Linked DNA regions of Struthio camelus. The protein of the gene in region 1 purifies or fractionates together with the protein of each later gene. This does not show direct contact. Links are inferred from orthologs where the notes say so. Each region holds a gene or a part of one and is shown on either strand. Other genes may lie near its edges. The genes, in order: VDAC1, RAB7A, BSG and RAB2A.

What was found.
Region 2: the proteins of VDAC1 (region 1) and RAB7A purify together in Homo sapiens (affinity purification with mass spectrometry; 3 studies listed by BioGRID and IntAct, with this or other methods). This does not show direct contact. The link is inferred for Struthio camelus from reciprocal best matches to the Homo sapiens genes VDAC1 and RAB7A.
Region 3: the proteins of VDAC1 (region 1) and BSG purify together in Homo sapiens (affinity purification with mass spectrometry; 3 studies listed by BioGRID, with this or other methods). This does not show direct contact. The link is inferred for Struthio camelus from reciprocal best matches to the Homo sapiens genes VDAC1 and BSG.
Region 4: the proteins of VDAC1 (region 1) and RAB2A purify together in Homo sapiens (affinity purification with mass spectrometry; 3 studies listed by BioGRID and IntAct, with this or other methods). This does not show direct contact. The link is inferred for Struthio camelus from reciprocal best matches to the Homo sapiens genes VDAC1 and RAB2A.

The regions. Positions count from the first base shown.
Region 1 is NC_090954.1:3,701,505-3,708,643, reverse strand, and holds the start of VDAC1 (non-selective voltage-gated ion channel VDAC1), read left to right. Parts: upstream 1-4,122; 5' UTR 4,123-4,137; coding exon 4,138-4,221; intron 4,222-6,701; coding exon 6,702-6,771; intron 6,772-7,139. UniProt on the Homo sapiens protein: Non-selective voltage-gated ion channel that mediates the transport of anions and cations through the mitochondrion outer membrane and plasma membrane.
Region 2 is NC_090955.1:6,976,565-6,984,427, reverse strand, and holds the start of RAB7A (ras-related protein Rab-7a), read left to right. Parts: upstream 1-4,860; 5' UTR 4,861-5,038; intron 5,039-7,863.
Region 3 is NC_090967.1:7,635,588-7,643,079, reverse strand, and holds the start of BSG (basigin), read left to right. Parts: upstream 1-4,487; 5' UTR 4,488-4,726; coding exon 4,727-4,829; intron 4,830-6,415; coding exon 6,416-6,572; intron 6,573-7,492.
Region 4 is NC_090943.1:135,022,997-135,030,974, reverse strand, and holds the start of RAB2A (ras-related protein Rab-2A), read left to right. Parts: upstream 1-4,972; 5' UTR 4,973-5,101; intron 5,102-5,396; 5' UTR 5,397-5,484; coding exon 5,485-5,530; intron 5,531-7,978.

The DNA.
Region 1 (7,139 bases):
GGCGGGACCGCAGGGAATTCGCGGCGCCCCTGTGGGGCTCTGGCGAGCGAACGCCTCTTAAAACAGGAATAGCCGTTGCCTTATGTAACGCGCGGCCCGCTCTTACGAAATTGTGGCCTCTCTCTGAGGCGTGGGGTGAGGGCGACATGTGAGGCGGGCTGGGTTTGGGGGCGCTGGAGCGAGGCGGTGGCACGTGAGAACGGCGGCGGTTGTGCTGCGCTCTTCCCGGGCAGCCGCCTCCTTAGCGCCGTCCTGTTCGCTTTGCCGGAGCAGGCCGCGCGCGAATCAGCGCGGCCGCTGGCTCCGTCACGGAGATTTAAAGGTCATTTGGCACCGGGGGTGCGTTCAGGTTTCTCAGTAACCCTCCTTTCCAGAAGGAGATATAATTTCTCGTATCCACAGGCAGCAAAGATGGTGTGTGGCAGCGCTTGGGAAGCCGGCCTGATTAAGCGCTGTTTCAGCGCTGACATCCCTTCCACCTTACTCGCTCACCCCTGGAATCTTAATGAGTTCCAGCAGGTTGGCAAGTTCATCCTGAGATGCACCAAAAACCCCAGCCCCACCCCAAGCAGCCTGTGATTTTTCTTTTTTACCGTTGTGTTTATGCTCAAAATTTATTTTTATGTTGGGGGGAAAAAATGTCAGTTTAAAAAAAATCTCAGGGGCTGAATTTTCCCCTGCCGTGAAACAAGGAGAGAGCACCATGCAGCAGGAGCAGCAGTAAAATTGCTTCCATTCTGCTTCATCACAGTCCTCCCTTGGAAGAACTCCTGCTGGAGGGCGATCAAGTCATTCAGTCTTTGGCTGCTTGTAAAAGGTAGTAATAAAAAATTCTGAAAGTGAAGCAGAGCTGACTCATTCTATTGACCTATAGCACGGTTGTGTCTCCAGGGAATGCTTATACTGAGCCAGCTGAAACAGATTCTATCTTATTTTCAGTTTGAGTAGTGAGGATCAAAAGTGTTCTGCAGTTCATTCTGCTTAGTGCACTGGACAGATGAATAGTGATCTATCCTCTGGAATTTCATCTGTGAAAGCCTGTCAAATTCAACAGTCAGCGCTGTTCTGCACTGTTGAAAAGATACCTTAAAATAACTGCTCCCCCAAACACTTTACGTTATGGATCAAGTATACCACCTTCCATCTTCTGCACCCTCTCTGCTACCTACCTGCAGGGAGTGCGTGTCGGAGGGTGACTCAGCGCGTAGGATGCTGCCGTCTGTTGCCATAGCAGCAGGCGCGGTCCCCGCTCTGTGACTTTCCTGGGGGATGCAGTCAGCAGAACGCTGAGAGTGAGGAGGCAAATCTCAGACGCACATGTGCTTTGACACTGCAGCAAAGAAAAACCATAAACCAGCTCCTTAGCAGAAGTTTCAGCGTAGCGGATGCTCCTTTTCTGTGGAAAGGGAGCAAGCAGTCAAAACGTGCTGGAAGACAAAATGCTGTTTTAATTCGTGATCCTCATTGATTTGATCTTGGGCGTTACCGTGAGTGGAAAATGGCCTGGAATGCGAGACATGCACCTCCTCGAGTGCTCTGCTGGTGTGTGAGTGTGACTCTTGTACCTTGCATGGTGCTCGTGAGACAAGGGAGTTATTGTCCCAATATTAATTGCCCTTATTCTGGCTCTAGCCTTGCTGTGAGTGACGAGAGCACCGTTCATTTCTTTGTGGTCGTATATTTGAAAGAAGCAGATAGTTAACCTGAATTTTTAATTCAGCTCATAGTGTGATTCTTTGTTCGTCCCTTACAGTTTTAGTAACTGTAGTAGCAAATTATATCCCCCAACTTTTGTTTTATTGAACTATCATATATAAATAACAATTAATGGTTTCAATGCAGTGAAGTTGTTCTTAATTTATACTCATGAAATTAAGAACAGACTCTTTCTTTAATTCCATAAGTATTAATTTGGACTAAAGCACAGTATTTACATTTACTTTAAGGCGGTTGTAGCCTAATAAGCTGTGAAGTATAGAGGAGATAAAATGTATCACATAAATAAATCTTTTAAGAACTAAACATGCTACATCATTTAACTAGTTTGAAAGCAAAGCTGTAGTAGGAAGGCTATGATCCTAACAATTGTCGTAACCATCAGTGGGACGTTGCATGGATTTACTAATGCATCTGCATGAAAGAAATTGCAGACTCCAGAGTCTTAAATTTTGAGTCATAATGGTGCACGGGTTATATGACTTTGCCACAGTAACAGGTTAGGGCAAAAAATGTTAAGTATTCTGGTCCATAAAGCAAAGTATTTACAAACTGTGTGCTTATACTAGCTTTTGAAAAGACTTGTGAATGTGATTAACGTGGTGTTTGACCTCAGTGGAGACTCCTCATGTATTTACAGTTAAGCACGTGTTTAAGTTTCTGCAGAATCAGGCGTCTGAGTCTGATTCAAAGCAGTTGGTGACTCGGACCAGTCTGTCATGGAATCTGAAAGGAGTGCAGCTTTTGTGTGTCGTATTCTGGATGAGTGCAAAAGCGCTGTATATTTTATTTATTGATACAAAATCTGTTGGTTTGGAAATGGCATTGCATAGGCCAGGAATCCGGGAAGGCATTTAAAAGTTACTTCATACCAAAGAATAATTCTTCTTTTAAAAAAGGAGATAAATAGGAAGTAACAAGATTTTTTGGATCTTGAGGCAGAAGGCCCTCGTCAAATTTCCTAGGAAAAATTGGACTAGAGTGAGGTCCAACTGAGACCCGATTGTCTTCATGGGAGTTTGACCCTTGATGTATTTCATTCTTATCTTTAATTTTTAAATAGGTCCTTCCCCGCATGTAAATATCATAAAGTTGATCAGTCTGTGTTGGGAAACTTTAACTTAGTCATGAAAAAGAGCGATCAAGCAAAAATTTGAATTTGAAGGATGAAGTCTCTTGTCACATCCATATAAATGCGGATCAGTGGGACAGCTAGTTTTTGTCTCGCCCCAGATGAGCTGGTGCCTGAAAGGAAGGCATGAGAAACCGAGTGCATGTGAGCTTGCGTGTGACTAGCGGCAGGCAAGTTTCAGCGCCAGTTCAAGGCGCAGGTTCGTGGCAGCACAGGAAGGGAAAGGGCACCGTGGTTTTCCCTGTGGTTGCAGCCAGTTCTTACATTTGCAAAGGACACCTCAGTGCTCTGCTGCCTATTAGACTAATTCTGAGTTAATATCCCAAAATTGTATTGTGGAGTAAAGACTTTGACATCTGTCTTGAAAATACTTAGAGTCAAATTCAGCCCTGCTGGAACTGCCTTGTATTCAATGCAGTTTTCTTCACTGGGGCTGGTTCTTGTGTCCTACAGCTCCAAAGAAAACTCCATGTTTTCTCCCTTTTACAGTTACAAATCAAGCGTTCATTTGGGTGGTGCTCATAACAACCACTTTGAGCTAAGTCCTTAGTTCAGGTTTTCTGAAAGTTGTTTTGCAGTATTTCAGTCATGATATGCACTACAGTACTTCCTACTCCTTCAGAACAAAATATTTTCCTTCCTGGAACGTGGGTATATGTTCTCCTTGGTCTGCTTTGTGCAGGAGTTGAGGTTATGTAGTCACTCTGAGATATTTGCGCTATTGGACAAGGATAAAATCAATGAAATCATTTCGCTCCTAATCTGAATTTATGTCCTGGGATTCCACCAGTGAAAAGCAAGGGCACTTGGCCATGTGGCTGTTCCTTGATCCTTTAAGAATTTGAATCCCTGTTAAGCATGCTTGTCTTCCAACCTGTGGTTGCACAGAATGTAATGAGTTTTGTTTTCCATCTGTTAAACAAGAGGCTTCTGAACATAGATTAGCTAGTGCAAACAGAAATAATTATTTTTGTTCCTTGATGGCAACAACAGTAAGGTTAACCACCACATACATATTTCATAGAGTGTTTTCCACGCTCAGCAATTTTAAATGCCTTGTTCCGTGTGCATTACATGATTTGCCTTACAAATAGCCTTACAATGGACATGGATTTAGCTGTCAATATGCTTCCTTAATTATAGTAATTGCAGAAGTGGAGATCTAGACATATCCCACTGTCCTATAACCACAGCCTAGACTGCTACAGTAGAGCAGCATGTCACAGCTGATTCATCTTACAAGCATGGTTGCCTCTCCCTGCTGATAGCCCGCTGCTAAGTAACGCCTTATGGCTGAGCACTGGGGACGGACTGCATTCTGCTGCACTTTGTACATCCGGACTCTGTGGATCAGTGGAGATATGCAAATATTGGTGAGAGCCTAATTTGGCTTTATGGGCTTTGATAAAGGAAAATTAGTCAGCCCCCTACCTCAAAAAAACCCAGCAGAACCCAAACCAAAAACATACAGTATTCAGTTTTCCAGAAAATACATTGATTTTTAAGAAGTAACTCAAAGTAACTGTTGATGAACTCAAAATACATCTGGTAGATTCTGAAATGCAGCCGATAGAAGGATGCATTATCTTTCAAAGCGATACTTATTTGCTTTTTTGATGTAAGGGTTTTTAACACTTTTATTTATTGATGATGCTAAGTGGAAATACCCATCAGAGCATTCTAATGAGACTGCGCTGCCCTGACTGGAAAGAAGCATTTCCTGAATACATACAGCCCCTGGTGGATCATCTCAAGATGTTCTGGGCTCTCTGTCCTCTCTTGAGTGCTCCCTTAGCTCTAACCCTAAGTTGGTATGATCTCCAACAGTGGCATTGTACTTTGTTTTTAGTGACCCTAATAAAAAGCAGAGGAATTACTTAGAAATAAATCTGTTAATGGTTTTTTTTTCTTCTTTTAAAGCCTATTTTTTTGTTTCCAGAACCCCATATATGACCAACTCTTAAAATGGTTTCTCCTGTAGAGAGTGATGCTTATAAACTTTACGTTCTGGCTTTCATGTTGGCACAAAACCAGAGACATTTAGGTCTTATATAAGCAGCTGAAACGGCTTTGGAATATGGAATACGTTGTGTTTTTATTTAACTACTTAACGGCTTAGGTATTTGGGGCTGCAACTTACTAATGAAATATAACTGGAAAAAATTACAGGACTCTGATGCCTCCGAGTACAGTCTCAGCAACTGAAGCTACATCATAGTATGCACCCTTGAATCCTACTTATATTTGTGTTCTAAGACGACTGTTTGCTTTGAGCCAACAGATCTGTTTTGCACCCTCTAGGATAGGGATTCTTCACTTATGCAATAGCGGGTATCGTGCTTTAACAGGCAACAGCTTCTTGAATGGAGTTGCCTGAGGCGTTAAGTGACTGCTGAAACTCCCTATCTGATAAACGTGGGGTGGTGTGCTTGAATGAAGAACTGAATCCAAGTCTACAGCCAGAGTAGATACTCTGAATACTGTGAGCACTCCCTCATGTTTGCAGACAGCTGGTTTGTTTGTGATTTAAAAGAATAGTTTTCTGCTAACGTTGAATAGTCTGGAATCAGGATTAGTAGGCAATTCTCAACAAAACATTTTCACTCGTATGTAATAAGCTTATTATTAATGCTCCATAACCAAAAAGTGTTTGCGAATGTAGAATTTTAGTGCAAAATCTGGTATTAAGAGAACCAGCTTTATGAGGATGATTTCTCCTTTGCTTTTTTATGAAATCTTGAACATGAAGAAAGAAGGTGTACACCACTTCGGATGGTTTGAATATGACTGGTTCCATAGAACAAATTACTGTACTTCAATAAGGAAGTAATTCGGTTTGTTTGTTCTTTCCTCTCAGGCTCATACTCTCCTCTGTATGCAATGAGAGTCTTGGTGGCTGAGAAAATGGGATGTGTTCTCCTTTCTTGCAGGAGGCCATTGAATTAAGAATGGTCAGAACCTGCTGAACGCGTGAATCTGAGGGCCTAAATAAGAGCGCAACATGAAGTTTGAGGAGGCTGCCCCTACTGGGCTCCAGTGTCTTTACCCTTGTGCTGAGACCTCGTTCCAGGTCTTGCACAGAGCTCTAATCTAGGTTTGATTGCTGAACAGGGGCAGCACCTACCCTCCTGACTAGCTGATTTCTAGATACTCACAACGTGGCATCCTTTCAGTCCTAATTTTTCTCAGTAAGCTCAGTTTTTCCCCTAGTTGATGAACAGGAAAAAAAAAAAAATCACTGACTAAGGAGAAATCTTAATGCATTAACAGCTGTACCAAAGTCAAAGAAAATTGAATGGTAGATGAAGAATGACTATTTGTTGCTTTTGCTAACGTGTTATCCAATTGCTGCTGTGAAGTAGGGGGAGATAGGTGTTACTGATGCTAGATGACTGTCCTGGGATTTCCAAAATTAAAGTTGGGTGACTTGGGGTCCAAATTCTTTGCAACAGGATACACAGATTAATTGCAAGTAACAGGAGAAATGCTTGCCAGAAATAGTTAACTAATCATTCATGCAGGTCTCCTGTTAAGGAAGCAAAAAATTAACTGTTTTGAAAGGCAGAAGAAGTTTCTTCTTTTTTATATTTATTCTGCAACCTGTTTCTCATCCTCAGTGGCAAATGCTTGTTAATCATTAACGCTGGCTAATGAAGGAAATCAAATCTCACTTTTCGCTATAGCTACTTTTTTCATATTATATTAAATTGATAGGTGGTGGATAGAAACCAGGCTGCCTGAAACTTAGGAATTTGGCTTAAGTTGCCGGTTGCTGAACTGGCTTCAGTAAACAAGTTTCCAAACACTGTAATTTCCCTCTCTGTCCTTTTTTGTTTTTGTTTTTCCTCCCCAGAAAATGGCTGTTCCACCAGCTTATGCTGATTTGGGAAAATCTGCCAGAGATGTTTTCACCAAGGGATACGGTAAATATAAATAAATTTGGTCTTTTACTGTTTACCTGATTCCTGAAACTGACTTGTTATGATTTTACTGCTTTTCTCTGACAAAAATTGCAATAATTTTTATTAGAGTTCAGAGAATTTTATATCACAGCTTCACATTGTCCTTACTGCCTGGAAAGGGAGGGTAACTTATTTTTCCTCTGACAAAATTCTTCATTTTACCCACAGGTCTGTTGTCCATTTTGAAGTGTGCTATATTTTGACTATTCCCTTGTATCATGAACAGGACCACTGATGTCAGTAGTTTGCTTATGAACAAAATGCTATTCAGTATGAGTAAAAACATTATTACCTAATTTGATCCTAGTGATATTGCTGGACTAGTGCAG
Region 2 (7,863 bases), on another chromosome or scaffold:
CTTCATCCCCTGGATCATCTTCTCCACTTGCGTACTGAGAACAATCATATGAAATTATCCGGCATACCTCCAACGCAGTTGTAAAAATTAATTATCTGGTATTTAGCACCAGCTGTAAAAGTGGGAAGCTGTTGCTGTTGTCGGAGAACTTCTGGTGCCAGGGAAGCTGGCTGGGAGTCCTGCCGGGGACTCAGGTGTGATGGTCACACTTTTGTGTGACAGCCTCTTGGGATGAGAGTCATAAATAGGATTGAGGCACATCTCTGCCCCGAGTCCAAAATCCTGACCATCAAAGCACCCCTTTGCCTTGCGACATCTGAATTTTCTAAGGGCTTTGGCTTCCACCAATGCAGGTTCCAGGTAACTACAGTGATGCCAAATGGATAAGCACAAAGCCATGCGGTGGCCATCTGGCACCGTTCCCCAGCAAGATATGTTTGTTTCTGTGGCCTGTCTTACCAGCACTTGTCTAAAGGGAAGTCCCCTCCGCTCAACATATTGTCCTGTGACCAGAATCCCTCCATGTAGGTGGCCATGATTCAAGGGCAGACCAAGGGAGGCACTTGGACCCTCATGTCTCAGGGGGCGAGCTGGTCATCAAAGGGAAGGTGCCGGTATTATCTCCTCCTCGTAACAAAGGGATCAAAACTCTGCAGTGTTTTTGTGACTCTTGTTATTAAGCAGGGGAAAGCTCTGAAACCTCTTGGAGTCCTAAACCCTTTCCTTTCAGTGCCCGCGCCTCCTGTGTCTGGTATGACGGGACGTCTCAGAGTCAGGCTTTGCAACACTGCAGGTAAGCCCCCAAGCCTCATGGATCTCAGACTTCAATGTCTGTGTTTATACACTTTATCAGTGGTTTGGTTTTGAGATGTATTTCCAGCAATGTATTTTATCAATGAGTATAGAGGCTAGTAATCCCTTGCAATCTGTGCCCTGTTCTCTACCCATCAGCAGAAGCATGGATCAGAGACCTGCCATGAGCTAAAGGGATTACAATTGCTTCCTATGGTTGGTGTCTGGTGATCAAGTCTTGTCCAGAGCCAGCTTTTTATTTTCATGTATTGCTGCTGCTGTAACACTTAGAAATCAACTGAGGATTGCAAAGGTGAAAGCATTAGTAGATTAATGGAGTGGTATTTGTACTGCAAGCAGGAATTAGAGACGAGGGCAGGCAAAAGACTCTTGCCAGTGGAAATGCACAGGTGGTCATGCAATAGCAGAAGATTTTTAATGTACAAAATGCCAGCAGAGGCAGAGTGAACCTGCTTTAGACAAGAGTAAATCAAAGAGTGACAAAGCTTGGAATACAAAAGCAAGATATTGTATGTTTGCTGCATCTTAGTTCCTCTTTTTTATTTCAGTAAGTTAAATCATTATAATGATAATTTGAGGAAGCTGGTCTGGAAAGGCAGAGGTGGTAGAGGAAAGCATTGCAAAGCTAGTTGCGAGAGCACAGCAAGGATCACAGGACAGACAGTTTTCACTGAGCAGTTATTGTCACGATGGGCTGGTGCTCAATTTCCCAGGCTCCACAGGCAAGGAAAGATCCTGGGGATGTGTCCAACGAGGAGGGGGAAGGCCTGCTGAATAAGTATCAGAGGAATGAGCAGGGCTCACTCCAAGCTTTTAATGTCACAGATGGCCAGAGGTGGAGTGGCTGTGTGTCCATGGGAAGGTGGTGAGCGCATTATGAATGCAGGCACTTTTGGGAAAGTCACATGTTCACAGCTAATGTCTACGGTTTGCAGCTACTACAGCTAAGCTTCCGTGCAGGTTTTCTGCGTAGACCTCTCTGCAAGCCCTCCCATTAGCAACCAGCGGGTGTTCTTGTGTCCATGCTATTTCTATTCACAGTGTCTTTTTAGGGACTAGAAAGGGAGGGCCCATTTCGGTCAAAGGACAAGGGAAGAGATGGTATAAGGCATATCATGTTTTATTGTTTCTAATTGGATCAGAAAGATTGGTAAATAGAGATGATTTGTCACAAAGAGAACAAGATCAAAGCTGGAGATATTCTTACTTCCTGGTTTAGAGGGATGGGTGCGTGAAGTATGTTGAGGTTGCTACACTGGTAAATGTCTGAAGACTGATCGCTATAAAATCAGGGACCCACTCACTCGTGTCCCTCAGAGCGAGAGAACTAATTTCTTCAGAGTGATGTTAGTGATTGGGAACAACTGGCATTGAGTTTCAAACTGATCCATTTTTAAGAGGTTTCATTGGGTTTTGCTATTATGAAGGGGTCAGATGAGAAACGCTGTTTTCTTCGCAGGCTACTGACGCTAAGCTGTGCTGTCCAGCTGGGCTGGGCTGCTCAGTGCACAGCGTTCCGGTTTCTTCCAGGCCCTGGGTTCCTTCTGGTGGGAAGGTGTGCATGTGTATGTCCGTATGGCCAGGCAGAAACACAACAGCCTCCACTCAGTACATCCGTTTACCACTTTCTTACCATTGTCTTTTCCCTTTCATTCTGCCACTGTGAACGTCAGTGTGAGCTGTGCCAAAAGACGGGAGACCTACATGGATAGCAAGGACCTCTCTGCTGACATCGGTCCTCCTGAGCGCCAGGATTCATATGTACTTCCAGGCAGGCAGGATCTTGCCTCGTCAGTCTGAGGACATGCAGCATTTCCAGAGAGGATCAGAAACTCATCATGAGCAATTAGTCCATGACACCGCTGTTGATCATGCTAGCAAGTGACACAGGAGCTTGGTGTGAGGTTATTCTCAGGATAATAAAAATATGTAATAGATGTAGGTTTTACGCTACACTGGTGCCAGGATCGCTCGGTGGTAGAGAAGAAGGAAGAACTTTCACCCATGGTTTTTGATTGGCTTTCATATCATGTAAAAAGAAAGGAAAAAGGAAGCTTTCAGGAAAGAGAGCAGAGGAACACTGTAACTCACCATTAATGTCTGCTCCTAACAGCCCAGCATGTGGGGGGTCTCCTGCTAAGGGAACTATGCAGACCGGGGCAACCAAGTGCTCTGCCCCACCTGCTGTTGGCATGTCCACGTGTCCAGGGCCTGCAGTCCTGGGGCTGAGCTGAGAGGATATTTTCCTTCTCATCTAAAGAAGACATGCATCTTTGCGAGGGTTTTCTCCATCATTTCACCAAGCAAGGCTTTTCCTCTTTTGTTAGGTCCTTGTTTTAATTGATAACAGGTTCTTTTGCAGCTCTCTGCATTTAATGGAGCACCTTAAAAGCATTAACAAAGTAGATGTCATGGGCTCCCCTGTCTTGTGAGGAGAGTGCCACAGTCCTGCAAATATAGAAATTAGAAAGCAGTAATAAACTTGCCAGCATCACAGGAGGAGAACCCAGCAGCCCTGGCTCCCACTTGCCTTCTGTTAGTCTGCATTTCCACCACAACCTAAACCAGTCTAAGGAGCAATGACGGTGTCCTGCCTCACCCACGCCTTCCCTTGCTTCAGCTGCAGCCTGCATGAAGCCAGTTCAGTGCACTAAGCTGGCAGAGAAATTATCTTGTGCTCCTTTTCGTGTTAGTTGTCTGCAGATTTAATGCTGAAGTGACTCAGCGCAGGGTCAGACGAGAGCCGGCGCTGGCATAAGGAAGGGAGAGCGTGAACGTGTGTACTTGAATTTGGGCTGGGCTGTCCTTTGGAGCCGAGGTGGTTTTCACAGCAGTCAGTGTGGAGGCTTCCCTTGACAACAGAGACTCCAAATCGGGCTCAGTCCCCTACGCCACTGCTGTCGGACTTTAGTTCTAAAGTAGGACACTGTAAATAGCATGCCCCGTGTTCTCTGTGATGGATAGTGAAGGGATTCAAACCAGGCCCAACAGATTATAAGGATTTTAATAGTACATTTGCTGTGCTCTGCGATCATAATTCTGTTGATCTCAAACCGCTTTGCAAGCATTAATGAATCAAACCTTGCAGCGTCTTTCTGGGGTAAGCATTACTGTTTCCAGGTTACGCACGGGCAAATTGTGTTACCAATGCAGAGAAGGCAAGCAATTTGCCTAACGTTACGTGGCAGATTGTCTCAGGACAAAATAAAGACCAAAGAGGAAAGAAAAAGCACTCTGTTACCAAGCTAAAAGTCCTGCCTGGTGTATACTGTTCAGAAGCAATTTCCTTTTTTAATGAAGCTATAAGTGGCTTCATTACTTTTGCCTCTTCAACGAGCTCTAAAAATACTTTTTTCCTTGGTTGCTTTAGTCTTTGCGTTCCCAAGCTTATGGGCCAACTACAGCTACAATAATCATGTGACGTGGATGAACACAACAGAATATTCAAGTAAGCGCTGAATAATACAACACGCTCGCGGCCAAAACGCCGAGTAGGAAACACAGAGCGCGCTTGTACCACCAGGATGATGCTTCTTTTCTACAGCGAGGTGCTAGAGAGTTAGTTTACGTAGTCCCATTGCATCTGCCTTCGTTGCTGATCTTGGCACTGGTTGTTGCTTGATTAATCAACCTGAATGTGTCTTAAATTGCCATATTTTAATTTACAGGGTTTTTTTTTGTTTTTTTTTTTCCTGTGCTGTTGCTACTATCTCACTCCGGATCCCAGAGCAGCTGGGCCCGGCAGGGACCTCTGGAGACACCTGGTCCGAGCGCCCTGCTCACGCCAGACTGCCCGGAGCAGCTCGCCCAGGGCCACGTCCAATTGGGTGCCCAGTTATCTCCAAGGATGGAGCCTCCACAACCTCTGGGCAACCTGCTCTCCTCCCATGACATGCTGCAGCCCCCCCCCCCCCCCGCTGACGCCATTTGGCGGGAGCCGTCACGCAGCCAGCCGCACACGGAGGCTTCGGCGCCCCAACATGGCGGCCGGCCCGCCGTCACGTGACGCGCCGGCGCCGGCGCCACCGCCCCTTCCCCCTTCCCGTTGGCCCCGCGGCGGCGCGCTGACGTCACGCGCGCCGGGCGGGCCCCCGTGACCGGAAGTTGTCGGGGGGAGGCGGAAGTGAAAGCGGGGAGGCGGTTGGGTCCCATTAAAGCCGAGCTGAGGCGAGCAGTGGGGGGAGGCAGCGAGTCTCGGGCGGGCGCCGCGGCCACACGCAGCACGGTGAGTCCGGCCGCGAGCGGGGCCGGGGGTTCCCCGCGCACCGTCTCCCTGGGGCCTGGTTGTTGTTGGGGGGGGGGGTGGCGGCGGCGGCGGCTCCGCCCCGGTGCCGGGGGCCGCGCGGGGCCCCTCCCGCGGGCGCCGGGCCCTGCCCCGCCGCCGGGCCCCGGGCGCGGCCTCGCCGCTCCCCCCCCCCCCTCCTCTTCTCCCCCTTTCCCCTCGACGGGCTTGGGGCGGCCTGCGACGCCGTGCCGCTCGGGAGGACAAAGCCGCCGCGGGCCGGGCCGGGCCCAGCCGCCTTTCGCCGAACAATGGAGCCTCCCCTCAGGAGAAGTCTCAGGCGGCTGCCGGCGGTGGCTGGCAGGGAGGCGAGCGCGTCGCTGGCGGTGTGCGGCTCCGCTGGTGCTTCCCCTCGAAACGTGACGAGGGCTGGGGCCGAAAGGTGTCGTCGGCGCTGGTCTTGGGGCAAGCGCTGCCCGGGGTGGTCGGTGGGTAGCGTTTTTAGGGGTGAGCAGCTTGCCCCCGGAGCAGTTAACGTGATGGAACAGGCAGCTGAAAAGACTGGCAGTTTATTGCGAAAGTAGCTCCGTGTGTTTGTGTAAAGCCTGAGTCAGTTTTTAAGAAGTATTAGACTAGGTGTCAAAAGTGCTTTTTGGCTGTGAGTGTGTAGTGAAGTAAGTGATAAGTTACAAATCTGCAGGTCCATATAGGCTAATAAATATGGAAATATCTAATAATAGTACTTAGGACAACTGTCCTGTCTCCTGTAAGTAGAGGAATTCTTTTTAATAGTAGAGTAGCTATAAAAAGGCCCTCTTAACCTAAAGAGAGGTGACCTCAGTGTCTAAATGCATGAGTCTTACTGAATAACTTAATCCTTTGAGTTGCATCTAGACTCCTTAATATTGCCTTCTTCAAAAATAAAAATACTAGCTGACAAGTAGAGCTGTTGTAATATGTTTGTGTAGGATTTTTATATATAAACTGAGAGCACATAGCAGAACCAAGTCCTCCCAACTGTAAGCAAGCTGAGCTCTACTTGGCAATTACTAAGTTGGAAGCTTTAGGGCTTCCCATACTTGTCCTTGGCCAGCCAACTCTGTTTTTTGCCTAGTACTCTGCATCTAGTATTACTGTAGCAAGTAGAAATTGAGGTTGGGGAGTGAAGAGCTCTCTTTCTGGGGGAGAATGGTACCTAACCAGTTGTGCTACAGTACTTGGTTGGCTCTGACTTGAAGGCTTACTCGCAGCTATTTTATGTTTACAAGCTGCGATGATACTAGTAGTGCCTGATGGAAACTGCAGTTGGGCCATGCTTCCTCCAGGGCCAGGCTACCTGAGCAAATGTAGCCTGTTTTCTTAGTAGCAGTATTTGAGGTGAAAGTGGGTGGAGTCATTTGACTATTCCCTGTTTAAATAACCAGGGCCTCGTTGCTGTACTACTTTAGGAAGAACAAGTATACTTGTCTCTTTCCCCTTGTGACTTCCAACAGCTGACTAAACACATGACTCGTGCTAAGTGAACTAATGAGTAGACCCACCATGTCTGGCCTGAGTCTTTAGCATGCAAAGCAGCTGTAATACTGTTACTTTCAAGTGTGCTGCCGTTTATCTTCTGTGTGCTGTTATGCTAAAAGGCTACTTCTGGTGTAGAAAAGCTGTAAGATGAGGCTAATCTGCCTCCTCAATAAGGAAAACTGTTTTAAAAACCTGTGGCAGTCCCTTGTTCTCTTAACCTGCAGAATTAAATGTAACCAGTAAGATCCAAAATAGCAGTTATATTAAACTTGCCTCTTGCCTGTGGTGTCACTTGGTGGTCTAAGTCCTCAAATGCCCTACTAATAGTTCACCGTGGCCCTCTAGGAATGGTACTGTAAAATACGAAGGTGCCAAGCTTAAAAGCTGAAATAGCTGTGTTGCAGTGGCTACGCTGCAGGCATCCTTGTCCCTGCTCCCCCAAAGCCAATGGCTCAAACTGTGCAAAGCAGCATAGGCATGTTGCAACATGGATGAGTTCTTAGCTGAAAGTGAAATCATGGCTCTGCTGTAGGCTCTCTTCAGAACTCACCTAGGGAAGATACTGCTCTGCTTGGTTTACTACCCAGACTGGATGTTTAGGGACAAGAGGGCTACCGGGTGCAGTTTCTGCAGCATCTTAAAGCTCTTGTTTTAAAACTCCTGTGCTAGAAGGTCATGTGAACTACCTGCCAGAGCAAATCTCTGGCAAAGCTTGTCCTTGAGGAAACATGACAATTGCAATCAAACCATCTGTGCACAACTATAAATAGCCTTGCTTCTAACATGTATTGGATTTTATTCTGACTTCTCTGTGAAAATGAGACTAGTTTATGCAGAACTTAGCATTTGGCTGTAAACAAAATTGTTTGCGCTTGATTAGGATGCGTTTTCCTCCAGTGCTGCATCTTGAGATGGGTGCCTGGCAAGCCATGGTTTAGGAGTAAAGGCTGTGGAATAGGATGGTTGGATGTTTGCATTCCCTAAACAAGTTGCTGGGTCTCTGGGCTCACAGGTGTGTGCTGGTAGTTCTCCCTCATGTTATAATGGACCAATTTCTTGAGTATCTGGAGTAGCCTGGGCATTTGATAGCCAGGCACAGAATTCTCTTGTCTCGCCTGCTGCCAGTGTCCCCAAAAAGCAGTCGTCTGGGCTTCTCAACTGTCACATATACTGCTCTTAAGCTCTGGTTTCTAGGGACCAGCTGGTACTAAGATCCCCTATAGTACAGCAGGGGGTTTAAAGCTTTTCCTCTTGGTGGAAGAGGGTCAAGATGAGAACGTGCTGAAATGCTGAACTGGGCTTTAAAGTCA
Region 3 (7,492 bases), on another chromosome or scaffold:
AGACATCTGGAAAAGGTTATTTCTATTCTTGGTCTGAAACGCCTTGGAAGCAAGAGTTCCTTCACAGGCCAATCTGTTCTGTAATATGTGTACCCTGCCCTTCTAGTGATGTAGATTCTCTTAGGCTTGGTATTTCCAGCCAAGCCTTTGGTCTCAGTCTGTAGGGCAACAGTCTGTAGGGCTATAATGCTTTGGATGGTGGAGTACTAGGTTAGATCACTTCACACTGGTTTGCTAATCCAAATGTTACTTCTGGAAAATGGCTGAACTTAAAAACACAAAAACCCCCAATCATGTAGCTGCTTATTGGTCATCTGTCTCTTGAAGTCCAGCATTCTCTCTGGGCAGTTGTAGAGACTTGTCTCTATTTTACTGTGCCTTTTGAGGGTGTCTCTTACCTGAGCTTTAGCTCACCCTTATTTTGTAGGGGTGTTATTGTTCTGAGATCCTCTAATGGTAACAGAGTTGTGTTGGTCATTGAAGTCCTGCTTTTGGCGAGTGTGTAACAATGCTCTATTTTTGCTGAAGTAAACATAATAGCGGACTGTAAGGATTTTCCTTACCTCTCAGCTGTGTTTAACATTAGACTTCCATCTAGAGAGCAGACTTCTTGAGAGATGTTCCTTTTAAACTGCACTGTTAAAACTCTTTGCAGCTTGCAGCAGAGAACAATTGCCTAAGTTGTAGAGGCCCAAGTCTGTAGGTAGGTGCATGCTTGGACTCTGCTCTCAGATCATGAGAGGACAAAGTATTCCGACTTCCTGAACTGACTGAAAGCACTTGCCTTTGACTTGGTTATTTAGTGATTGCCTGGTTATATGAAACTTGAGAGAGAGTAGGCTTTATAGCTATTAGTGGAAATGGCAATAAGTGTCAGAGCTTCATATATCCCCTTCCTACGCTGAGAAACAAAGGTCATGCCATGGATGAGTGTACCCTGCAGGAAGACACAGGTTTCTGCCAGGTTTAACTGCACTGAGATCTGTCTGTGCTTGTTGGGTGCTGCGAGTGCCATGAGAGCTCCTCCCTCTGCTCAGTGGGGAGAGGTTGTTTTTAGTTTGAAGGTGACTCTAGAGAGTGTTATCTGGTCATGTCTGTCTTTGCCACTGTCCAGCTTGATCGAATACTGCCCGGTCCCCAGGAGAATTGCTCAGCTCTGTGATTGGCTCTGTTCTGTGAGGAATGCCTGGCTTTTGTGAGCTGATTTCAATTTCCAGCCCAACACCATTTGAAATCGTTTGAATGCCTCTGATCAATTCCAGTGGGTTGATGCTGGCTGTACTGGTATGTCCTAGGACTCAGCAGGTGCTTTCCCCAGCCTTGAGCGTCCGAGACTTCGATTAGTCTGCTTTGTGTTGGAAAAGCAGAGAGGGGATATTAATCCCATGTGAAAAGGGAATGATACTTGTTATTTTTATCATTTGAATTCAAGGGTGCCTAGAGAGGCTCAGCAGATCCACATTACTATCTGAGCTGTGCATGAAGTGCCTTCTAATTTGGAGCAAGTAACTTTGAAATATCTTATCAGTGCACTATAATCAGCTTGTATCTGTAAAGGAAACCTTGATCACTAGCAGCTCCCACTTTAAATCAGGCTTCAGTTAAAATGGGACTGATTTTTACAAATACTGTAGTCAATTCTGTGACTTTCAACATTAGGTGATTGGGAGGGTTAAATCACAGGCTTGTGATTTAAAAACTAAACTGGCATGCAAAATTGTCAGGAAACTCACCCACCAAAATACAGCACAGCTTATCCCACACCAGTATGAGTTTAACCTTGGTGGGCTGTTTAACTTTTTTCTAGCTGCTTAACAGGATTCAACTTCTAATATGTTCTAGAAGTGAAGCTCAGTGTGTGAGGAAGTTGCGATTAATACTTCCATATTTCTTTTAGAACCCCTAGTGACCTTTTTAAAAAAAAAAAATCAGGAAGATCATTCTAGTGTATCTAGTCAAATTCTGTAATACAGAGTCAGTTTGAGGCTTTAAAAACCTCTGCCAATATATTACTGAATGGTGCATTTGTGAATGTAACAGTTGATACTGTTGTTAGTACGTGAAATGGCACCAGACTTCTTTTTTAGCCACTGAGTTATTCTCAAACAGACCTCTGCTTCAAAATATCTCAGTTTTAATTATCAGCCTTCTCTTAAAACTGTCTTGGTCTCAGGTGAGAGTCAGCTCTCTCCTCCCTTGTCCAAACCTGTCTGTTCTTTCAGACTTCTAAAGCTTCAGAGTGTAAGGCTAAATTTTCCTTTGAGAAATGTTTAAACAGTGGAAATTATTTATGTAGGCCTCTGAAAATTACCTAGCAAACGTCTCTGTTTTGCTTGGATTTGAGCAAACTTGGTTTTATAATGCTGATTTATTCCCACGCTTGCAAAAAAAGATTTTTTTTATTAAAATGTCTTTGGGCATTCAAAAACAAAGAAATCCCCCAACCCACCTCTCTTAAGCCTGTATGACATGATACGTGTGTGGAGGGCATCTATATAATCAGAGCTTTCTTAATACTTATTACTGAGTAAGTTAACTTCTTGGAATGACTCTTGGTATGGTAGATACTTGGCAGGTCTACTGTTGGTGTCTGAGTAGTGCAGTCTGAAATCAGTGTACAGGAAGTGCATGTTGCAAAGTTAAGTAGCTCTGCTTAAATCTTGCTGAAATTGAGTCACATAAGTAACCTTGACGCAAATATGATGTCTTTTCCTGAAATGCTGTTGCTAGAGACTTCCTTCCTGCCCCCCCGGGGGGAGGGGGGAGAAAGCCCTGCTTGGGCCTTCTCCTCCCATCTGTCTTGTAATGATTTGGACAATCTTACATCTGGGAGCTGCTGCTCGTAGTTGATAGTGCTGCATCTGGCTAATAGCCCTAAAAATGGTTGGCAGCTCTGCTTTCTGCAGTGCACTGACTTATGGCTTTACCTTTGAACTGTCTGTTTTCAGAAGTTGAACCCTCTGGACTCTGAGCACAAGAGCAATTTGAAAAATACTGTAGTTTTAGCCTGTAGCTGTCTCTCATGTTTTTTTAATCTGTGTTATTAATTTAGCTTGCCTGGGATGAAGAAAGTATAATTTCGTTGTTTGTATTACAACGAATATTACAGATTTCTTAACCTGGCTTGTGACATCTTGCAGACTGCAAGATGCTCTCAGAAATTGCAGCTGTCTTGAATATTGTATTTAGAAGTATCTGACTTGCATCTTAGTGAGCAGGATGACTAAGCAAGCATGTGCGAACGTGAAGGAGAACAGATCTTGCAGTGCAATGAAGGCTGGCAGATGAGGCAGGCAAATGGTACCATAAGTGTAACAATGCCCAACATCATCTAGTCACCACGTAGTGACAGGATGAGTGCCAGGCTCTGGCCAGGTCTCAAATGAGATCAACTGACTTTGGGCGCGTAAAGCTCAGGGAGGGACTGACATGCCCCTCTCTGCGGGCGAGTGGGGAGCTATGTCTCTGTAGTGTGAACGTTTGTATGCACAAAATGTTCTGACCTTCAGTGTGTCAGAGTAGGGAGGCCAGTGTAGGATTGCTAGTTCACCAGGCTTGTGTGGCTGCTTTCTTTGTGTCCTTTTTACAGTGGAACGCATACTAGATGATGCTGTCTTGCTGCTGCCAGCCTTTTACTGCAATATGCAACAGAGATTTTGGCAGACCTGTGGACCTCCTTTTCAGAATATAGCAGATACTAAAATTTTGGGGGGACAGGAGAGACTGGATAAGCTGTTGGAACAAAAATCCATTGAAGTTTACATCCTGAGCTGAAAATGCTTGGAGACAGGGAGGAGTGTGAAAGAAGTATTGCAGGCGTGTCTAGCTCGTCGCCTCTGGAATCTGGGTACTAGGCTAGAGAGATACTTGGTCCGACCCAGTGTGAGCATCATGTTTGTAATGCAGACTGTGACAGAAAGGATGCAATTCAGTGACTGCTGGTTAAGTAGCTGATAACTAACATCACAATGGAATTCAATCAGTATTGCAAATAGGCTCTCTGTATTCCCAGACAGAGACCATTGAGCAGAACTTAACCAAGGTAATGAGGTAACAATGATCAGGGCTGGTAACTTTGAGCTTGAAACTTAATTCTGTGGCTGGAGTAGTTATCAAACTTCCACTGACGCAGCTACAGCCCACTGAATGCAATTCTTGAATATCTGGAACGTTATCATTGTTCTTTCTCTTCCTGCCTCGTATTTCTCTGCTCATGCAGCTAGTGTTTGTAAGTGTGGCTGTTCTGCAAGCTCTGGTTTTGCATCAGAGTGGCGAAAAGTGTTGTTGGCTGTAGACACGGCATGGGGCAGTTGACTGTGTAGCTGGAGATAGCTTATGGATTGTAGAGGGGAGGGAGCTGGGAGAGTATGCTACTCTGAAGAGTTATGTTCCATCTTCTCAGTGGCTGAAATTTTTTCCTTGTAGAGGTTGAATTCTTGCTTTGCACTAACACTTTGCACTAATACCTCTTCAACTCATAGCTGGTTTTGTAAAGTCACCGCTGTCTCAAAAGAGACTGACTCAGGACAGCGTCGAATTGTACTGCGAGGCAATTGGCAATCCTATTCCTGAGATCCAGTGGTGGTTTGAGGGAAGCGAACCAAATGAGACCTATGCTCAGCTTTGGGATGGTGCACGGCAGGACCGTGTCAAAATCAACGCCACCTACAACCTGCACTCTACCAGTACCATCTACATCGCAAACCTCTCAATCGACGATTCGGGCATGTACGAGTGCCGGGCTAGCAACGACCCTGACCGCAACCACTTGTCGAAGAGCCCCAAAGTCAAGTGGATCCGTTCCCAGGCTAACGTTTTTGTCATCGAACGTGAGTGGCCATACTGAGGCCTTGGCACTTGCTCGGACACTGATGTCTTGAGTCTCTTGCCATGCTCACCCCTGCACCTGTGTCCTGTGACTTCCTGAAAGTTCCCTTCACCTTCCCATCCTGGCTGTAGAACTGAGACTCCTACCCTCCTGTGATCTCCCTCACCACCTGTGACTTGATCCGAAGTGGCCCTGCTCAAAAAGGGTTGTGACTTCCCAACCAAAACACCATGCAGCAATCCTATACCTTTTCCAGAGCCCAAGACAGTAGAACATACTGCTTAAGTGCCTCCGTGTCCTAGTGCCGGCTTGCAGAATTAAGAATTTTGATTCTGCTGGTAGACTCTGCCTTAACCACCACTGACAAACCAGCCCTGCCCTACAGCTCATTACAGCTTCTGCTCCTGTGAACGTCTTGCTTTAAGCTCGCTTTCTTGCTAGTGTTACAAGCTGTGGGGATCAAAATCTGCTTTTAGTTTCTTGTGAAGCAACCATTTTTGAAATGGCCGTGTCTGTGTGTGACACTGAATGTGATTAAGTTGCTTGTACTGTGGAAGTGACCAGACTCCCTCTACTTGCAGAGCTGAAAGTTGAACTCTTGAGCTAAGAGGCTGCTTCTTTCCCAATAATAGAAACCTGAACTAGTTTGAGGGAATTTAACATCCTGCTAAGATCCTGTCGTGAATCCTGAAGTTAATGGAGCAAAATTACTAACATTTTCCTCAGCTTAAATGTACTAGGAAATACAAAGTTCCAGCAGATTTTTCTTCCGGGGGAATTTGTTGGGTAGGAGGAGAAACAAAATGCCTTTCAGCCCTGTGTAAAAATTATTCCTTCCAAAAAAGTGCAAATGGGTGGGAGGGTAGGAAACCTAAAGTGTCACAGGGCTGTATAATGGCTCTACTAATGACAGCTATTTTCTTGGACTTACCTCTTACAAGTAGAAGTGTCTGAGTAATCTTATGTTGCATAATGGAGATCTAGGACCTTTTGGAATCATGGCTACATAGGTTCTCATTGGAATAAATATAGCTATAAATTCTTGAGCTGTATCAGGTGGTGTGCATATTGCTTGCATACTGTCATATTTGTTGCTCCTGACGAAAGTGTCTTGACTGCTGTCCTCAATTATGCTACCTGGAGATGTTCAGATCTGCTCAAATTCTGGAAGGTGCTAACATGCAGCGAGTGCTAAAATGGTTCATGAAACCCTTCAGTGTGACCTTTTTCATTGCTTATTTGAGCACTTAGCTCCATTGCAATATATGAACTGCACCCATTGTAGAGATAGCAGGAGGCTCAAAACTGTTGAGTGCATGGCAGTGATCCTGACCGTGGTGGTAGCAGCTGTAGGGTCAGTATCCTATTGTTGCTAAGTGCCATCAGGCCCTAGTCATCGGGCTTTCAACTCTGTCCTGTGCTGGTATCATCAGTCCTGGTAGGAATCTGATTTAAGAAGGTAAGTAGAAAGCTATGGTGGAGACAAGGAGCTGTATTTTTTGGGAAATATTTGCCTTAAAGGTTCTTGGGGAGGTGTATAACCTCTGGAATAGCACATGTTAACTTCAGCTGAATTTACAAATGCAGGTCCAAACATCGTAACTCTCGTAACTGTCAATTCTGGCAAACTGGTCCTCTCCTGTAACATGACTACGCCTTACGCTTCCATTGAGGGCCATGAGTGGATGAGAGGAGACAAGATACTTCAAACGGACACGGAATCGAATGCTTTCACCAGTTACACGTAAGTGTCGGGGGCAAGGCCAGATAAGAATATGTCTGTACGCAAGGGACAGTTATTTTACCAGAAACGGCTAATGTTTCATATCAGTTGAACCTAAACCGAAGGACTGTCACATACAGTCTTGCATAAAATATAAACTTTGGAACTTCAGAACATGAGCAAAATAAAGGTTTGCTAAGGCCCAGCATTTCCTTTTTGGGGAGGAGGGGGCAGAAAGGAGGAAGAAGGGAAAGTGAATAGGCCACCATGCCCTCTTAATAAATTGAAAAGTACTGCTACTTAAAGTTTTCCTGCCCATGTTCTGCCGGGCTAGGTGAGTTTCTATTGGATTCAGCAGCACCAGGTAGGTGCCAGGTGGCTAGGGCTGCCTGCTTGGCTGGCCTGCTGTCTGGAGAACATGAGCACTTGGCTTTCTGCAGCATTGACATCAGTGCAGTGAGATGTTTTCCCAGAGCTTTAAGGATCTGTGGCTCTGGAAAGGAAATGAGCTCTCTGCTCCCCCAGAGGCCATGTGTGGAACAGGAGAAATGTTATCTGTACAGTTGGCTTTTATGTATGTACCTCAAGTATACTTTCAAAGTCTAGCCTGTCCCTGTAGAACAAGCTGAGTAGTTGCCTGCAAGTTACAGTTGGAAACTGTTTCCAGGCTGTAGCTGAGCAGAAACTGGAATACCAACCTTATTGTAACAGTGCAGTGAGCTTTCCACTTTGATTACAGTCAGGCCTGGCTGGCACTGGCCCAGCAGCTGGAGAGGCATCATGTCCTTTTGTGTGGCTGTGCCGACGTGCCTCTCTCCCCATAGCAACAGGGAGCTGAACAAGGATTAAAGTATTTATAACCCAGCCTCCCTCGCGTGACCTCAATTCCTTAGCTGAGTGGTTTTTGGGAGTGGGAAGCTCCATGCACAGCAGAGCTAACA
Region 4 (7,978 bases), on another chromosome or scaffold:
ATACACTTGAATGTCTTCCTGCAGGATCTGCTCTGTATATACTCATGAGGCATGGTCTGATTCTTGACATTTATAAAAATAAAATAAAATAAACTATATATTGCCCCCTTACTTATGTAAAATACAAACCTAATCTTCTAAAAAATTGTTAAATAAAATTCACAAATAACATAGCGTGGCATAAAATTAACATTCAGAAAAAGTGCAGACTGAGTAAGTGCTAGATACAAGCAAATAATAGTTTCTACTCCACATCTGTATAAATAAGCTAATAGCGCAAAGAAACGCTTTAAAAATTTAGGCTAAATTGAATAACAGGTTAGCAACTGACTTCTGACAGTTAAACAGTAGTACAATGCAAATTATAATTAAAGTGTGGTTCTGTTCAAGTGTCATGCTAGGGTTCTGCTTTTGTGTTTCAGTTCCCACACAAAATTTTTCTCTAACGGTTTGCTCTGCAGAGTAACTGGAGCTTGGAATGCCTCCATGGCTCTTTCTCAAAGAGTACTACTAGTAATAAGGATCTTGCAAACTTTAAGGCTTGCTATAAACCTCAAACTTATGATATAGAACAAAGAGCAAACTCTAGTTTTCTCAAGTGTACTAAATTTGCCACAATATAATCCTAATCCTATCATCTAAGACAAATATATTATCATATTTCTAAAGAGCTTGTTATATAAAATCACTGATAGATAACACGTATTACCGAAAATAACATTAAAATAATCAAAGTAACCCTCTGCAAACCCTGTGTTTCAGTATCGAATAACTACTGCTTCTGTTATATCTATTGACTAATAATTTTTTTAATAATTCAGAATCAGTCCATGGTAGCCTTCTATTAACACTTAATGTTTTAATGCTTAAAAAGTAAAATATTCATTTGTCTGGATAACAGAAATTTGTACAGATGAGAGGTAAAAATTAAGCAAACACAATGCCTATTTACTTACAAGCCTCTTAATAGCATTTAAACAAATGTTAAATACAACTTGCAGGAAAATCAGTTTTGCATTAAACTCCACTTGGAGGCATCTGCAATTTGTGGAACTGCTGATAGAATGGAATAACTTAGGCATACAGTCATCTTATCCAGCAGCAAATTAGCTTGTATTTACTATGGGGTAGCGTAAGCAACAAATTTGTGTTTGTTATCCTTGCAAACCTCTGCCAAATACTGTCCAAGCAGTAGGATCCCAAGTAACTGAAATACTGCATAAATGTGCGCACGTAAAACATTTAAAGCACACCAGGTTGAGCGGATAAGCAGAAGTGGTTTGGCTATCTGTTCACTGTGCAGTGCTGACCAAAATCATAGCTGACTTTCTGACTAGCCAAGCAGCCAGCAAGCCAGCCAAGTGGCCGCTGCCCCACTATATGCTGCAGGCAAGCTGGCTACCTCTCTGAGTCACCAGGGTGCCGAAGTAGGTAAGGGTGACTTCCCTCTGAATAGAAGGGTGTCAATCAAATTAGGAAGCTGTTAAGCAGTAGTGTTAAAGAGATCCTTCCATTTCACTGGACTTCTGTAATACCTGTATTTTCTCCCCATCAGTAACCTGAAATTTTACAAAATGGAAATTCCGTTTTCTGATCAGAATTATTCTAGATAGTTTTGCTTGTGTCAAACTTGTGGCCTAGAAGACCACAGAACTCTTCCCAGAAAATTAAGAAACCAAATCCCATCAGTGAAGCAAACACACTTGAAACTTATTACATTGGGAGAGAGATTGCTGTGGAGAGATTGGCAGGGCTTGTCCAGCCCTCAGAGACTAATGCCCTGTGTGGCTCAAGCACGCAGGAATCCCGACTACTACCACCGGAGACCTGGAACGTATCACACGAGTGAGTACAGGACTGTGGAGGCAATGGTGAAGGACACAGAAGTCCATGTGGTTCTCCTTAATCCTGCCAGTTTGGAGAGAGAGGCTCCGTAGGAGAGGGCTCATGCTGTGAGTCAACACCTGGCTGTGTGACTGGCGTTCCAGACTGGGCTTTAGCTATCACAACCACAGGACCTTCTCTGTGGTGTGAGGACTGGCTGGGTAGAGGCAGGAACCATCTGAGCAAGCTGGCAGGAGCATTATAGTTCATGTGGCTGTGGGATAAGATGGGGCAGGGAACTCATTTGGCCGAATGATAACACAGAAAAATGTAAAGTTTAGCCACGGCAGTTCCCTGATCCACAGATGACACAAACAGTGCCAGAACGAGGCAGGAAATAAGAGCAGGTTAGTGGGGGCAGAGCTGCACGATCTATGTTGGCAGCAATCTCAACTTATGCTGGATAAAATCTGGTCAACTTAGCAGCCTAAGGATGCCTGGCTCCCTGTAGCTTTGTGCCCCACGGTTGATGGGCACCAAACCAAAGGTAGCATAAAGTTCTTACCTACAGATGCAGCACTTAAGAAGACTCATTTCAATATGAACTTATTTAATAACTGACCTCATCTACAGATTTTCCTTTAGGTACTCTTCTCCATACAGATGACAATTTTTATGAAAATATATTGGGATAGGGAGGACAGAGGCAGATCCTGTATGCACAGCTATGTAAAAACAGAAGCCTAGTTTTCACAGATGAGGCAAAAAAGCCTGTTCTTCTAAGAAAACTCATCCTACATAGGAATTGTTAGTTAATGAAAAATTCTGCTAGAACAATCACTTCTAATAAGTAAAATAATGGGGAAGTGGGGTTTTTTTTCCCCATGGGGAAAGTCAAGTCTTCCAAAAGAAGCTGAAGAAGTTTTTCCACACAGTTTTGTTCAGTTCATGTCTTCAGGTGGAGACAAAGTGCCCGGATTTCCAAGATAAATGCCTTAGAGTCACACGCGCAGTTTCCAATCTGGTTTGCTCAAATATAACTTACTGACTGAGGAAAACTAAGTTATGCAATATGATCAGCTTCATCAAAAAAAAAAAAAAAGGAAAAAAGCTTTAATGAACAAAGTTCAACAGGTTGTAAAAAATAAGTGATAAAGAGACAGGATGGATTTCTCAAGAATAGCCAATGATCAAACCAACCCAATTTGGTTGTCCTTCTCTGACAAGCTACACGGCAAAAAGGAAGAAGTGAGTGTGACACAACTGGACTTCAGGAAGGCTTTTGATACTCTTCTGCATCACTTTCTTAAAAACAAACTAAGTAAAATGCAACAGAAGAAATCACTATGAAGTACACATAAGGCTAAAAAATCAATTATAAAGGGTTTTTAAACTAAAAGAACATGTCACATGTGGCTTTCCAGAGCTCTGTCCTGTCCAGGACCTATTCAATATTTTCATGAGTAACCTGGGTAACGGAATGGCTGGGATGGAATGACAAAAAAATTCAAATATTCTTGACGAACTGAGCGGACGTGATCAAAACAGCTAGATTTAGTAAAAGGAAATGCAATGCTTAGTAAGTAGATATCAAATGTATAGAGACATTTGGGTAGTAACTGGCTAAATAACGTCATGACAGGATAGGGATCTAGGACGAAAAGCAAACTTCTTGAGACGCTGTTGCAAAAAAAGCAAAATCACATTCAGCACGGAGCAAGACTGTAGTTCATCCAGTGCTGGAGATACTCACGTGATGTCATTTTAGGGTAATGAGGCTGGTGTCACGGACACATGAGAACTCCTGTTTTGACTCCCCACTTTACAAATAATGTTGAGAAAGTGGGAGAGGTACAGATGAGAGAAAAAAAAGGAGCAAACAAATGATGGATGAAGGAAGGTTGAAAACATTAATTTTTCATGTGGAAAAGCAATGTAGATAAAACTTTCATAATATGTAAAGGACTGCCTTTCCTTTCATGGCAATCATTTGTCTGCTGTGTTCACAGAAGAAAAGGTAATAACAAAATAAGCTTAATTTTGGATTTCAGGAAAATATTTAGAAAGTTCATGAAATATGAAAACCAGATTTGGTGTACTGCACAATCAGCTTGAATTGAAGGTTCTTCAGAGCAGGTTAGACGCACACCTGTTAGAAATGGTGTAAATCAATGTTGTCCAACTTCCTGACCTGAAGTGCCACATACACAAATCGTCATACAGTTAAAAGCTGCCAGACTGGTACGGCCAGAAAGGTGGCCCTCTGAGTTCACACGAAGAAAATGCCAACGTCTCTTCAGCAGTTCCACCAACGCACAGTAAACTAACAGCTGAACCGCAGGTATCATCCGCCTTAGCATCCTCCTGGAGAGCCAAACAGCCTTCCCCTCCGTATGGAGCCGTCACCTCGGCACGACCCGTGAGCCAAAGCGCCTTTGACTGCTGAAGAGCCAAAGGTCTAGGTGTGCTGCGCTCTTAGGGCACATGTTCAGACTAAGTAATAACTCAGTTTCTTCCAACTCACCAGTTCCCTGTGAGCTTCAAGAAGTCCTCAACAACAGCTGTGAACGCAGGATAACTTCCTGCTTACTGCTTAGGCCAAGCCTTTTCTGGAAGCTCTGGGCCAGAAACACCCCAAGCGCTGGGACGCCCCCACCCAAAACCCCACCAACGCTGGGTTTGGTCCACAAAGCGCTATCGCCCCTTCCAGTACTTCAGCATCACCTGGCAGGGATGCAAACCGAGAGCTACAGCGGGACGCTCGAGGCCTTCGAGCAAGGCCTTGGCTCAGACGGGCTCCTGTGCGGCTTCTCTTCCTGCAGGCCGGCTTTCTTTTCCCTGGCAAGAGTCCTCTAGCAGAGGAATCACCAGGGAGCCCGCCTGGGGCCACGACGGCCCTCTTCACAACAAGCCGCTCTCCCGGGAAGGCGTGTTTTGGTCACGCAGCCCTTCCCTCAACGCCAAGGAAAACAGCAACCCGCACCGGAGAGAGAAGGCAGCCTCTCCCCACCCCCGGGCAGGGCACGGCCGAGGGCACGGCCCAGCAGCCCCGCTCCCCCGCCCGCCGCCTCCCTCCCTCCCTCCCTCCCGCCGCCGGAGCCGCGGGGCGGGGCCGCGGGGCGGGGCGGGGCGGCGGAGCCCCGCCCCCTCCGGCTCGCGGGAGGGAAGGAGGCGGCGGCGGCGGCCGCGCGCACGCACGTGCGCGCACGCGCCGCCGCGCCGGGCAACGGCTACCTCAGCACTTCCGGGTCGGGGGTGGGGCCGAGCGAGGAGGTTGGTGCGTGACGTTGCCGGAGGGGCTGGGGGGCCGCTGAGGCGCCTGTTATTGTTCTCGCCGCCCGCTCTTCCCGCCGCTGCCGCCTGCCTCCTCCGGCCGCTTTGGGGCGCGGAAGGAGGGAGGGGGAGAGAGAGAGAGAGAGAGAGGGCAGAGGCGCGGGAGCGAGCGGGCGCGCGCGCGCGGCGCCGCGCAGGGGCGGGAGGGAGGCGGCGGGCGCAGGTAGGAGGGAGGGCGCGGCGGCCGCGGAGCGTGTGCCCCCGCCCGGCGGCCGTTAACCGTTTGGAACTCTCCGCAGCGCGAGCCCTGACAGCGGGGGCGGGGGGAGAGCGCGCGCGCGTCACGAAGGAGCCAGCGAGAGCCGGAGAGGCGGGCACCGGGCGGCCATGGCCTACGCGTATCTCTTCAAATATATCATCATCGGGGACACAGGTGAGCGGCGGGGGCGGCGGGCCCGGGGCGGGCGGGCAAGCCGGGCCCGGCTCCCCGCTCCCATTTCCGCAGTGTTGGCTCCGTCGACGTGGTGGTTGTGCGCGAGGAGGCGGCTCCTCCGCCTCTGCGCTGGGCCCCGCCCGTGGCCTCGGCCTGCCTCTCGGCCGCCTTGCGCCCCGCACCAGGCCGCGGCCGCAGACCTCGGGGTCCCTTGACAGCCGCCTCGGGGCCCGGGGACGGGCCGTGGGGCAGGCCGGGGTGTGTCATACACCGGGCTGCGGCGTCTGAGCGTGAAAGGCAGGGGCGGAGATTGGGGTGGGATGGGGGCTGCTGTCATTGTAAAACTCGCGGCTAGGCAGCGGCCCCATATTTACCTCTCTGCAGCCCTGAGGCCTAAGAGGTGCTGCTGGCTTCCTAGGAATTTTGTGGTGAGGCAAAGACCAGTGCCGTTGAAGGTACCTTCAGACTGGGCTGCAAGGGTGCCGTTTCCAGCCCGGGCTGGAGGTGCAATAGCAAGCTGTTTAAGTGTCAGGATATGCTGTCAAAGGGAAATTTAAAGGCCTAGTTCTTTCCTTCTACTTCACAGCAGCCATTTTTTGACTAACTGCTTTCCCAGATGCTGCAAGTTGCATCTGCGGTCTCTTCCTCCCGCTCACCTATTTTCTTGTCCATTTTTAAAAACTTGCTCTCTTCTATTTGTCATTGACTGCCATGTTGCAAATAACATTGCTTAAGAATGCTGCAGGCATAACCCTATGCTGATAGGAATTGCTGTTTGATGCACTTTTGCCAACATATTCTATGCTTCCTTAGCCTAGTATGGATATAGATGGCATTCTTTCTATCACACTTTTGGCAGGACAAGGTAAATAACATAGGTAGCTATTGTGCTTGTGCATTGTGCATCTTTCTCATTGTCTTCTTCATACCCGAATAAATACCCTCTGTAATAAATTTGGTGACACGGTTGTCTCTACATGCTATTCTAGGGATACCTGCGTAGTTACACTTCATTATGATGAACCAGTTTATCTGTTGCTGGAGTTTGTGGTACTGTAATTATACACTATAGTTGCATTACGCATGTGGTTGTTAAATAGCCTGGATTGCAACTACTGTGTATTTTTTGTTGTTTTTTTAAAATTTTTTAACATTTAAGCTCTTCAGCCTTTTTTTAAAAACTGTAGTACAAATAAATAGTAAGAAATATATCATGGTTATAATGACCAGCTTGAAGTATTTAATAGGCCATAGATGATAAAGAAGACTACAGATTGTTCTTGAGTGTTTACGTGACTGACAGTTCATAAGCCACGGTAGAGGACAGGAGATTATGTCAGTAGAGTCAAGGGAAGTAAAAGGAGGTTTTTCTGCCCAGAATGATGCAAAATGGTAGTACAAAATTCAGGGTCATAGCGCTTCAGAACAGTTGGCCTTGTATTCTGGTGCATTTTAAAAACTGTAATCATCAGAGTGGTAGAGAGGGCAGCAAACAGTTGCTTTGGTACATTGATGATATGCAGATTAATTTTTTAAATGAAATATCCTCTGGGCAGTGGTTTCTGCTGACCCTTCTGCACCATAATTGAAGATTACTTCAGTTACTTGAAATGTGAAATACAGAATTGGATGTATGTCACTTCTGAAGTTGTTTCTGCTTCTTAACCAAATATGGGAATTGTAAGATCTAGAAGAAACACACTGAGCAGAAAACAGCTCACAAATTTACCAAAAGTGAAAAACTTCTGTAGCTTTTATTCAAAGTTGTTATAGGAAGCTAATTAAAACTAGTGCCACCATCGCTGGTAAAGTGCAATAGATTCGCCAATAGTGGAAAGTTGGTTTTGCTTTTATTTAGATCTCCTATGAGCCTTTTAAGTATTCTAATATAGCTAGTATCAAAGAGACAATTTATGTTGTGTACAGTTTGCTGCCAGAATGACTGTGATGGTTTAGGTGTTGCTGTTCCTCTGCCGAAGGCAGATGCATTCGTAGCTGTACTGATGGAAATTAATGGACTGTATGGGGACTCGCCTGTTCTGTCCCAGTGGTGGTCTACCACAGCACTGCAAGCAGTGAAGATATGCCGGTGGCCTTGCATGCCCTGTAATTTCCATAGTGATCAAGAAATTTGTCTTTGGGACTTGATTTAGAGTCTTTGGAAGTGGATCAACTGCTTGGTGACTCAGCAATTAGTTGTAAACAAACTCTAGATGAAAAGTAAGACAGCATCAACCCAGGACAGATGTTGATATTTAGCTCATCTTCCTTTTTCAGCACTACAAAACAAAGTGGGTTATGCAAGCAATAAACAAAACAACAAAAAAAGTGTACAGTTATACAAGACACCTGCGTGTGTATTCTGAATTGTGATTCCAAATGCTTTCATGCACTTCAACGCAGGAATTCAGTATGATCTCAGTCTCTTAAAGTGATAGCTACAGAAAC